Tamandua tetradactyla: one gene and its partner. The protein of the gene in region 2 interacts with the protein of the main gene of each other region in a pairwise test. Links are inferred from orthologs where the notes say so. Each region holds a gene or a part of one and is shown on either strand. Other genes may lie near its edges.

Region 1 (3,600 bases), on a different chromosome or scaffold from region 2:
TTTGTCTGGAGAAACCGTTATGCAGAATATAATGTCCTTATTCTTAGGAAATTCATGCTGAAGCATTCAGGGGTGAAATGCTGCTGCAATTTACTTTCAAGTTCAGAAAACAAAACATAGGAAGCGGATACACACAAACAGGTAAAGCAAATATGTCAACTTTTTAAAAAATATTGCTTCAATCTCAAGCATCTCTAAAACCAACTCAGTAACTAAAATTTGGTAATAATTTCTGTAATTATTATATTAAATAGGCAACTGAATACAACCAAATTGCAACAGTTAATTCGTTAAGATATATAAAGCCCTAAATAACATGGCTGCCAGTTCTGTGCCCTCATGGCTCCTCACCTAGGGCCTTGGCACTTGCTGTTCAAAGGTCACCTCTGAATGGCATGCCTCTTTTAAATAGCCCCGCTCTCATTTTGCATCCTCTTCCTCTGCTCTATTTTCCTTCATCGTGCCGGCCACATCTAGAATTATTTTCTTCATTTAAATGTTTTACTGTCTTCCCCTCAAGAGAATGTAAGTTCCATGAGATAAAAGGCTTTGTATTAGCCATATGCTATATGTTCACCAGCGTTCCAAACAGCGTCTATCAGACTGCAAGCGCTCGACAAAGCTGTTGACCGAATAGATTAGACATCCCGCTGACCACTTCTCAAGTAGGAACTCTTTGCCAAGTGGCGGAAGGGTACATGTAATACGTTACTACGCATGCGCACAGACTCCGGGAAGTATTAAAAAGAAGGGGCGGAGTATCAGAAGAGTCTCGCGAACAGAAGCGGTTGGGGCAGAGAGCGCGAGGAGGAGAGAGTGGCTGGTGCGGCTCGCTCGTGCGCAGTACGGAAGCCAGTCAGCCGCGGCAAAGCCGTTCAGGGCACCCGAAGGCGGGGGCAGCAGTCGCGCGCGTGCGTTGTGTCCCGTCCCTGTGTGCGAGGGGCTCGCGACTCGCGCGGCGCGTGCGCAGTGCAGCCAGCGGAGGGATCCGAGGCGGGGCCCCACCCCCTGCCCCCATCGGGAGCCGAGGCCGCGCGGGTTCGTGAGCGGCAGCCTGGTGCGCGCGCGGGGCCGGCGGTAGAGCTAGACAGACGCGGTCGTTGCCGGAGTCGAATCCGAAGAAGAAGCCCCTACTACTGAGGGGCTGCCGCAGCCCCCGCGAGGCCCCGGACCGACGCCAGGCCGAGGAGGGCGCCGCGCGGCGGGTGAGTGACTGGCCTTATCGGGAGCGGGGCTGCTACCCACAAGGCCCTGCGGTGGGCCCTAGCCCCTTTTCCTGCGGCCGGGCCCTCTTCCCGCGCCCTCGGCTCAGCGCTTTGGTGCACCTCTTACCTAAAGTCCTCTGGTCGCTTGGGCCCCCTTCCCACGGCCCCCTTCCCATAGCCCTCCGCGGTCCCCTACCTACAGATCTTTGCGGTGTTGCCTTTTTTCCTTTCTGGCCTTTCCGCAGCGTCCTAGACCCTTACCCATAATTCCTTTCGCCTTTGAAGGCTGAGACCCATTACCCACAAGCCCCTACCTTGATAGGTTTGCTATTTACGGTTCTCTCCCTTTGATCGGAGACTTCTACTTCCAAGATCTGTGCGCGACCCCTGCTCGGTAAATTGTCCCCCACGGTACAGACCACCAGGCACCATTGCTCTGCTCTTTCTTCGTCAGGGTCCTTGATTTCCCTACAAGCCCCTTGCTAGGGAACTTGTCTACTCAGAAACCCTTTTCCAGTCCTTGTTTCCCTTAGTGGCCTCATCCCCAATCCCCTGCCCTCCTCCTCCCAAGAACTTGCTTTCTCATTCGGATTTATTATTTATTTATTTTTTGCATGATCAGGCACCAGAAATCGAACCCGGGTCTCTGGCATGGCAGGCGAGAATTCTGCCACTGAGCCGCCATTGCCTGCCCTCTCATTCGGATTTACTCCTTTTTCCCTGTGACATGAAAACCCAGTGTTCTGTTTTCCTCTTTTTCTTGAGAGTTAAAACCTATCCTAACTTAGGGCCTTCTTGCTTCTACCCTCAGACCTGGCAAGATGACCCAGTTCTTGCCGCCCAACCTTCTGGCCCTGTTTGCTCCACGTGACCCCATCCCGTACCTGCCACCCTTGGAGAAACTGCCACATGAGAAGCACCACAATCAGCCATACTGTGGCATTGCACCCTACATCCGAGAGTTTGAGGTGAGTTCACTGCTGGGATAAGGAGTGGTTTAGGTTTTGGGGAGGTCATTGGGCTGGACTTAGGAATCCAGTCAGGCCATTTTCGAGCTGGTGCCTTATTCTTTCTTCTGTGTCCCTGTCTTAAAATGGGGTTGATAATATGTCCCTTCTAGGGTTAGTGTGAAAGTTCAGCAAGTAGTAGACTTTTACACCCAGGATTTATCAGTAGGTGACCTTGGGCAAGTGGTGTATCCTCCTACTGCCTTGATTTTTTCATTTTTAGCAAGAGGGCAATAGTATTTTCCTCATAAGAGTGACAGAGAATTAAATGGCAAAACTTAGTGTCATAGGGCTTGACACCAAGCAGTCAGCAATGTTAGCATTTGAATTGTAGTTACTGATTTTATCATTAATAGCATGACATTCACAAAGACTTAGACCAGTGCTTAAGGCCACAGGCTTGGGAATTTCAGCTCTGTACCTCCAGGTTAAACCTGAATATGTGACTTAAGCTTCTGGACATCAGTTTTTTCGTTCAAAAGATTGGGATAACAATACTCATCTTTTAAGGTGCATCGAACCACACTTGAGAAATAGTGGTACACAGCCTGAAGTCATAAGAAGAAAGTTCTGGCACTGGGTGGTTGGGCTGGGAATTCTCATCCTTGTGGGAAAGGGCAGCTGGAGGTAGAGAGAGTTTTAGAGCAGCGGTTCATAAGATGATAGGACAGTTGCATCTTTAGTGGAAATTGCCACCTTCAGTGAAATGGTACTTGGGAAATGCTGTTGGTCAATTAAGCAACTTTAATGGATACGGTCAGTGGCTCCCATTGATGATACTGGTTATGTGTCATTTAATGAGTGTTTGGGGAGACTCTGACAGACTCCTCTCAGGTGGTATCCATTTGTTTGCCTCTGGACCCTGCACGGTCTGATCCTTTTGCTTCAAGCCTGGTCCTGCTTCTTGGCGTCCATAAAGAAGGGCCCTCTCATCACTCCACAGAGCAGCCTTTGGCACTCTGCGCACTTCGGAATGATGCTTGGGGGCTGTGAGATGCAGGATGTTCCCCAAAATGGGAGATGACATTCTGTTCTTAAGTTTGATGTCATCTGTGGCAGTGCTTCTTAAATTATCTGTGATGGACAGAGTTTTTCTATTTCCAATCTGTTGCAGGTTAATCATTTTATAAATACAATACGATTATTTTCATTTTTGTAGTACATTTTTAAATGAAGCACATACACAATACAGGATCAAATTTTTATTACTAGGTTTTCCTTGGTCAGATTGCTATAGAAGTTTCTAAGTACCTTTAGTTTCTGTACCTCTTGTTACAGACAGTAGGTTTGTGGACTAGCACTGGTCTGTGGCTCACTCTAAATCTGTGCCATTCCCCTGCTCCCACCATGGCATGTGAACTGTCCCATGTTTGTTTGTTTGTGTAGGT
Region 2 (7,091 bases):
CCAGAGCATATGTAAACATTCAGATTCTGTTTTTTATGGTATCTGGCCAAGTCTGCTGCTCTATCAGTTCCCACTGCGTAAGGAGCGGGATCACTTGCCTACAGCACGTAAGAGAGAAGGGTGTCTGTAGATCATCTCACTTTGGCAGCAGAGCAACATCCACTGGCTAAGAAGGACCAACACGCACCTGTGAAGCTGACTTTGCTTTATCTCTTCTCCATGTCAGTAATCATTGTACCACCCAGGGCCCTATGTAAGTGGTGTCTTTTGTTGGTGTCTCCGACACCTTTATGGAGTGGGTTGACATCTCTGCTATCCTCCATATGGGAGGACTCCTAACCTGGAGGTGGTAATGGGTGCCTTTCCTCCAAGATAAAAATACAAAATGGTACAATACTGTATGTAGAGGAGATTCTGGCAACACCTAACAACTCATATACACATTTATCCTTTGGTCAAACAATGCTACATACACAAACATATTCACTGCCGCACTATTTGTAATAGCAAGAAACAACACAAATGCCTATCACCAGGGAATTAGTTGACTATTTATCCACCAATGAAGTACTCCGAAGCAGTAAAAGGCAAAATGATCTACAGCACGGTGTGACAAGGCATATATTGTTAGGTGAAAAAAAAAAGCAAGATACAAAAGAGTACATGTAAATGCCATCTTTTGTCTAAGAAAATGCACACGCACACATTTTGCTTTTGCTTCTGATGCATTTGTTTTCACGGAAGGATAAACCCAAAACTAGTAAAAATGATTATTTATAGGGAAGGGAAACAATCGGGGTAGAGGAAAAGAGAGAGAAATGCTAAACTTCTCTCAGAATATCTTGTTTTATAGGAACTATGGTACTTGTTTTATAGGAATTATGCTAAAGTTTTGCATTTAATAAAACAAATCAAACTGGAAAAAATCAATATGGAAAAAGTGGAAATAAAATTAAATAAATGAATCAGCCATCAACTATGTATCAACTTGGCAACCTAAACATAACAACAAATTATTTCACATACCATTACAATGTAATAATTTTATTATACATATGCCTTGTGTGAAAAATACTAAAGATAAAAAGAACAACAAATTCTAAACACTATCCAGGAATCATATTATTAATAATAACACTGGTATTGTCCATTTGAAACCCGTATATATAATGTAGGATAAGGCAATTAAAATTAACGAAATTTAGGTACCAAGATTTTCAACAAAAGAGAAAAAAATGCAAATACTAAATCAAACTCATAAAAAACAAAGTCGAAAAAACAACAGTAAAATCAAATTTACATTGGAAATATTAGTATGGATTCTATATTTCCTTTTAAAAAATGTATTTCTTAGCTCCAATGACTGTAAATCCTAGAACCCAAAACCAACCTAACAGCAAAAGCACCTCTGGCACCCAGACTGTGTGGTCTCTAAATACCATCTCCCAATAAAAGGAACAGGGCTCTTTGGAGGCCAAAAATGTATAAAATGAACCAGGAACCTATTGCACCAGAAAGCAAGGAAATTATCAAAGACCACTGGAATCCTCTAGAGGAATAGGAGCCAACTTAAAGAGGCTCCAACTGGCCAAAGGTAGGACAATTTGAGTATCAAAAAGAATAATGATTTCAATAGATTGAAAGAGTTTATATATACTTAAATCTATGAGTTCATGAGGATGATAGCAAAAAAAATTAGCAAAAACCTTCATGGTTACCTTTGGAGGTCGCTAGGGCATCGACTCATTACTGTAGTCTGAAAATAGAGGGAAAAAATTTAGCATTTTTCTTGCCTTTCCTGAACAAACTGTAATTCAGGATAATCAAATAGCTGATGAGAGAAAGTTCTTCATAAAAGTTTTCCAGCTAATAAATATAGAAGGAATGATAGAATTAGAAAACCAACATTTTGCAGTCCCTAATACAATAATGGGTACAGACAATCTGAATCCAAGAGAACTTCATCACTGGGTGACTCAAGGCGAGGTTCATGCTGGATGAATGGGTCTGGCTGACAACACCAGAACCCAATGATCAATCTTTACATCACAAATAGGACAACTCTGACACTGTGTGCCTGCATGAAAATAGCACTAAACAGGAAATACACTAAACCATATATGAAATATTCTTGTGCTCCACCCAAAAAAAATCAAAGATGAATCTGATCAAGCCTCTAGATCGGTGCTGTTCAAAAGAATTTTCTGCAATTATGGAAATGTTTTATATCTTACTATTGTGTACTTGAAATGTGGCTAATGAACTGAACTTTTAATGTAATCTTCTTCTAAGCTGGTTAGTGACCATCACACTGGACAGGGCAATTCTAGATCTAACTACCAGTTTAGAGGAAATAAAGGGAATAAATGTCCATGTTAAAGGATATCATATGGACGCAGATCTGGAATGACCAGGCAAAAGGGAGGAGAGGGAACTGCTACAGATTACAAAAGAGACTCAAAAGATACGTATTTTTTAAAGGTGCAAGTAGGTATATCAACCAAATGCAACACTTTGATCTTCACAGGATTTTAATCCGAACACACTAAACGTAAAAACACATTTATGGGACAGTTGGGGATATGTGACATGACAGTATATTGGTATTACGGAATTTTTATTGATTTTGTAGGTGTGATATGACTGTTTTGAAAAACTGAAAAACAAGAAATCCTAGCTCTTAGAGAAAAAAATAACTTAAACATAAAAATCAGAAATTCAATTCCTGAAACCTTAAGTTAATGAAGACTTTAGCAGAACTTCAAAATTAGAATGAATTCTTGATAGAGTGGCCTACTGATAACTGCCACCACTTCCACAACACAAATGAGAATGGAAAGGACTAAGCAAAGACCTTCTACCTCTTCATAGGAAGAAAATAGAATTGGTACAATTAACATACACAATTATTACAATTGTATTTTTAAATTTTTTAAATTTTAATCAGACATTTTAAAGGGTGGTGTGATTGAATGTTTATAACTCTCTGACCTAATTTTGTTTCACAGCCATTTTTACCATACCTATTACTGATAACAATATAATCAAAAGGCAAGGAGCAATCATGTTTGAGACACAAACGGAACTGAGAGTAATATAAAAAAATCAACCCCCTTTTCAGGATAATCGCAGAAAATTCAGGATAAAAATTACTCTAAAAGATCGCACCACATTCCAAATTAAGAAAATGCATACTCTTTATTATATCCTTAAGCTACACCTATTTATAAATGTAAATGCAAAATATTTTAAAGTCATGTGTAGTTGATCCTTATTTCCCCTTCATATCTTATAAAACAGATGCTAGTGTGCACAGCTACCCTACATTAAAGGTTAAAAACATTAACCTTTAATTAAAGGAATAAAATAAAATTTGTTGAATGGTTTAGGGAATCGGATGCAAAAAGCGTCGGGAACTACTACCCAGTACAAATAAGTGCTCTATAAATTAAGAGTAGTCTATCATCAGGCTGATATTGTAAGCATATAGAAAAGCCACATGATGAGCCTAAATGTACTGTCTTCCAATATTGTCACAAAGTGTTTTTAAGGAAACGTCCTTTTTAAACCCACTATCTTTATCATTTAGTTCCCATTTTTAACTCCATGCATGGAGCAACCGTTAGTTCTAGGTTTCCCACTTCAGTCCTTCACGATTTCTGCCACATTCCCGTACCTACTTTGCTAATATAACACTTATAAATTGTTACTAAATATCCCGCCACAAATGAACCGGTAACACCTCCGGTAAATGAGTCACAACAAAGGTTAGGCAGCTCTAACCAAATACTCGGGCCTGCAAGGTCTGTTGTGCGTGCTTCCCCCTAAGAAGGACAAAAGGGCGCGCGGGCGGCCCAGCAGGGAAGACAGGGACCGGGGAGCGGCTCGCCCACCGCCCCCGGCCCCCGGCCTCGCGGGAAGGGCTGACCAACAGGCGGGCCTAGCCTGCGCGCCGGGAGGGTGCCATGTTCGCCCTCGCGGATCCGCAGGGCGCTCGTAACGAGGCCGACGAGGGGGCTGCGAGAGCGGACCTGGGCCGGCGAGGGTGGGCTTGCTGGCCGGCAGGCCGCTCCGAGAGCCACTCCCCGGCCATGCGGCCGCACGGCCCGAGGCACCACCAGGCCAGGGCTCTGTACGCCAAGACGCCCGAACCCTGCCCACTAGTTCGCGCGCACAGGCGGTTACGCGGCCGCCGCGAGCGCGCCCCGAGCGCGCCCCGAGCCTTCCCGCCGTTACCTCGGGCCAGAAGCGCGCACGCGCGTCACCCCCAACCTTACGTCCTGCCTCTGTCGTCGGCACGTTCGTTCCGCCCACTGGCCCCTGACTATTCATTGAAAAGTCCTCCTGATTTCCCCTCTGCGCAAGCAAATGGACTCACCCACATCCGGAAATCTGCGAGAGAAGACCGGATGGAACACGTGATGCAGTGGTGGTGGCGTGGCGGAAACGGGTGCCGCGGCGAACCCGGTACCGGTAAGGGTAACCCGCCCTCCTCGCCCAGGTCTTGGCTACTCCCACTCCCTACCCTGCAGCGGCCGAGGGCTACGTCCTCACTTCTTCCTCGTTGTCACTGCCCTTATCGCACGCTGTGTCGGGTGAAAAGGAGCCTGCGTGGCCGCCCAGGACATGCACCACCCCTCATCTCCACATTTGGTATAGCCAGCCTAGGCCGGAAACCGCGGCTATAGGACGGCCACACGCCGGTACGGGTGGTGGTGGCCTGTGAGGGTCATTTCTAGACAAGGCAAAGTCCCTTCCCGCCTTTAGTCGTATGAATACATCATTACGGTTCTGTAAACGGCAGAAATGAATGAAATCTGTCTTTGTCTCGGGGGACGCGCGAACCACGTGTGTGGGAAGACGCATATAATAGGCACTTAATGTGACAAGCTTCCCGCCTGAAGCTATTCACTGTCCCCAGCGGGCCTGTGGGCAGGCGGGTGGCGCTCTCAGGCCGCAATTTGGGAATGCTGAGTTTTTGTGGCTGATTGGGGGTTAGCCGGAAGGAAGGAAAAGGAAAGAGCATTCCAGGCTCTGGGATTGTCACGTGGCTAGGCACAAAGATATCAGTAAAAGAAATTTGTTCTAGAAGCTACCTGTGGTTCCTTCTGTCACGTGCGGCGGGTGCTTGGGACTGTGGCCGTGTCCTGGATTCTTCCCATTCTCCCAGCACCATACGGATGAGGTCCTCCCAGCCTTAAAACTGTGTTGAATCCAAAGAGCTGCTTCTCAGCTGAATTTGGAAGGAAAAGTAAGGGTTTGTGATGGGGTTAAAAAAAAAAAAAAAAAAAAAACAACTTTAAGGCAGAGTCTCAGTGGGGCGTGATTGGAGGTATTTGGAGCAGAGACAGGTCAAAAAAAGTTTGAGGCCAAATTGAAGAAGGTGTGCTAAGGAGTGATTAGTACAAAATGTACATATAATAATTGGAAACAATAACATTTGAGTTGATCTGCCTAACTTGTTTTGTGGCTCATATGGACAGAAAGCTTACTGAAACTGAGGTGATTTGAGAAAACTAAAAACGTGGAATTTGTGTAGTTGCGGGAAAATAAGCAGCTTTGAATCTGTGGAGAAGAGTGAGGAGGGTATTCCAGTGAGCAGAGCAAAGAGGACAGTGGAGTGGCAGCAGCTCTTGGAGGACAGGGATTCCACAAGTATAACTGAAACTGGGGGCGAGGGGCCCTTGTGTGTACGTATCCTAAAGGCAGGATCTTTCAACTTGTTTTGTGTTATCCACCCTGTAGTACTGGATTAATTCTTGAGTGAAATAGGAAGATCCTTCAGGTGGCCCACTGTTGACAGAAGTATCTGTCACCTTTTGACCCTTCTCCCTCCCCAACTGCTGTAATTACTATCCAGGTATTAGGGCTGTCTTGTAGTCTTACTTTTAGGGCCAAGCACAAGTCTGTGTGAAGGAACTGAATTCTATCCCCAAAGATTGTTTCTTGTTTGAGTATCTATAGCCTCAGAAGTTGGGAGTGTCGCAGAGTAGTTCCCAAGCCAGTGGCCCCCAGGCCTTCAAGATGGCCCCTTTGTAACACTGAGCACAGTAGAATGGTGTCTGTGGTGAGGAGACAGGACCTAAACTTGGAAAAAGGGAGCCCAGAGGTACCTATTGAGCTGGCCAGTCCTTTGAATTAGATTGCAGCTGTTAGGGAGAAAAAGATGGGGAAGCAGCTATGTTTAAGGAGCATTGAAAAGAGAACAGAAAGAATTGGGAAGGAATCCCAAAGAGCAGCATGGAGTCCGGCCACTGGTGTTCACCTGGAGGTGCTCCTTTCAGGGCTCAGCCTGGACTCTGTTTTTAAGAAAGGAGGCAGTTTCATTTATAAGCTCAACTGCTGACATCTTTCTTGCTTTGAGGATTTGTGTCACGCCTATGGTTAGTTAATTTGCATTGTTCATCGTTGCTGTCTTACTTCCCTGTGTTGCCCAAGAGATTAGAACCAAGGCAGATGGAGACTTTTGTAAATTTGGTGCAAAAACCTTGAGAGGCTGGAGAAGAGACTGTTATAAGTCAGAGATTCATCAAAGGCATCACAGGAAAGGTGAATGTGCAAATTAGGAGAGAGAAATTACATTTAGATGTACTGTGGCCTTGAAGATGATACTCTCAGTTATGTCACCCTCCTGCCACACTATGAAACTAGTCCTTAACTGGGCTACATATATCCAGTATACACTATAAAGCATCCATCAGCTGAGGGTGAAGGTTGAGAGTGGGTACTGGTTTTATAAAAAATTGTCATCTAACCCAGATGAGAAGGTAAGCCTTTCCCAGGGCAGTGTGGTACCAAAATCCTAATAGTAGAATACCCCATCTCCTAAATCTCCACATTAAAGAAATTACCTTTATAACTTACAGATCTGACAAGATCAGAACTACAGGAGAATGGACAGTGAGGTACAGAGAGATGGAAGGATCTTGGATTTGATTGATGATGCTTGGCGAGAAGACAAGCTGCCCTATGAGGACGTTGCAATACCGCTGGTAAGTTATGGTTTGTTCTGAGTTGATGGCTTTAAGTATCATCTAGCAGGGCCTAGTGGTGATAGGATATCAGAAGACAGATAAACTAGTAGGGCAAAG

What was found. The genes of interacting proteins can lie anywhere in the genome.
Region 1: the proteins of CEP63 (region 2) and SNRNP70 interact in binary tests that used the Homo sapiens proteins (3 or more experiments, as listed by UniProt). The link is inferred for Tamandua tetradactyla from reciprocal best matches to the Homo sapiens genes CEP63 and SNRNP70.

Annotation. Positions count from the first base shown.
Region 1 is NC_135342.1:12,037,245-12,040,844, reverse strand, and holds the start of SNRNP70 (U1 small nuclear ribonucleoprotein 70 kDa), read left to right. Parts: upstream 1-989; 5' UTR 990-1,205; intron 1,206-1,488; exon of another isoform or gene 1,489-1,599; intron 1,600-2,016; 5' UTR 2,017-2,026; coding exon 2,027-2,173; intron 2,174-3,600. UniProt on the Homo sapiens protein: Component of the spliceosomal U1 snRNP, which is essential for recognition of the pre-mRNA 5' splice-site and the subsequent assembly of the spliceosome. SNRNP70 binds to the loop I region of U1-snRNA.
Region 2 is NC_135341.1:78,283,144-78,290,234, reverse strand, and holds the start of CEP63 (centrosomal protein of 63 kDa), read right to left. Parts: upstream 4,178-7,091; 5' UTR 4,094-4,177; coding exon 4,032-4,093; intron 3,807-4,031; exon of another isoform or gene 3,784-3,806; intron 1,757-3,783; exon of another isoform or gene 1,748-1,756; coding exon of another isoform or gene 1,719-1,747; intron 1-1,718. Other genes in the region: ANAPC13 (anaphase-promoting complex subunit 13), read left to right, coding at 6,894-6,992. UniProt on the Homo sapiens protein: Required for normal spindle assembly.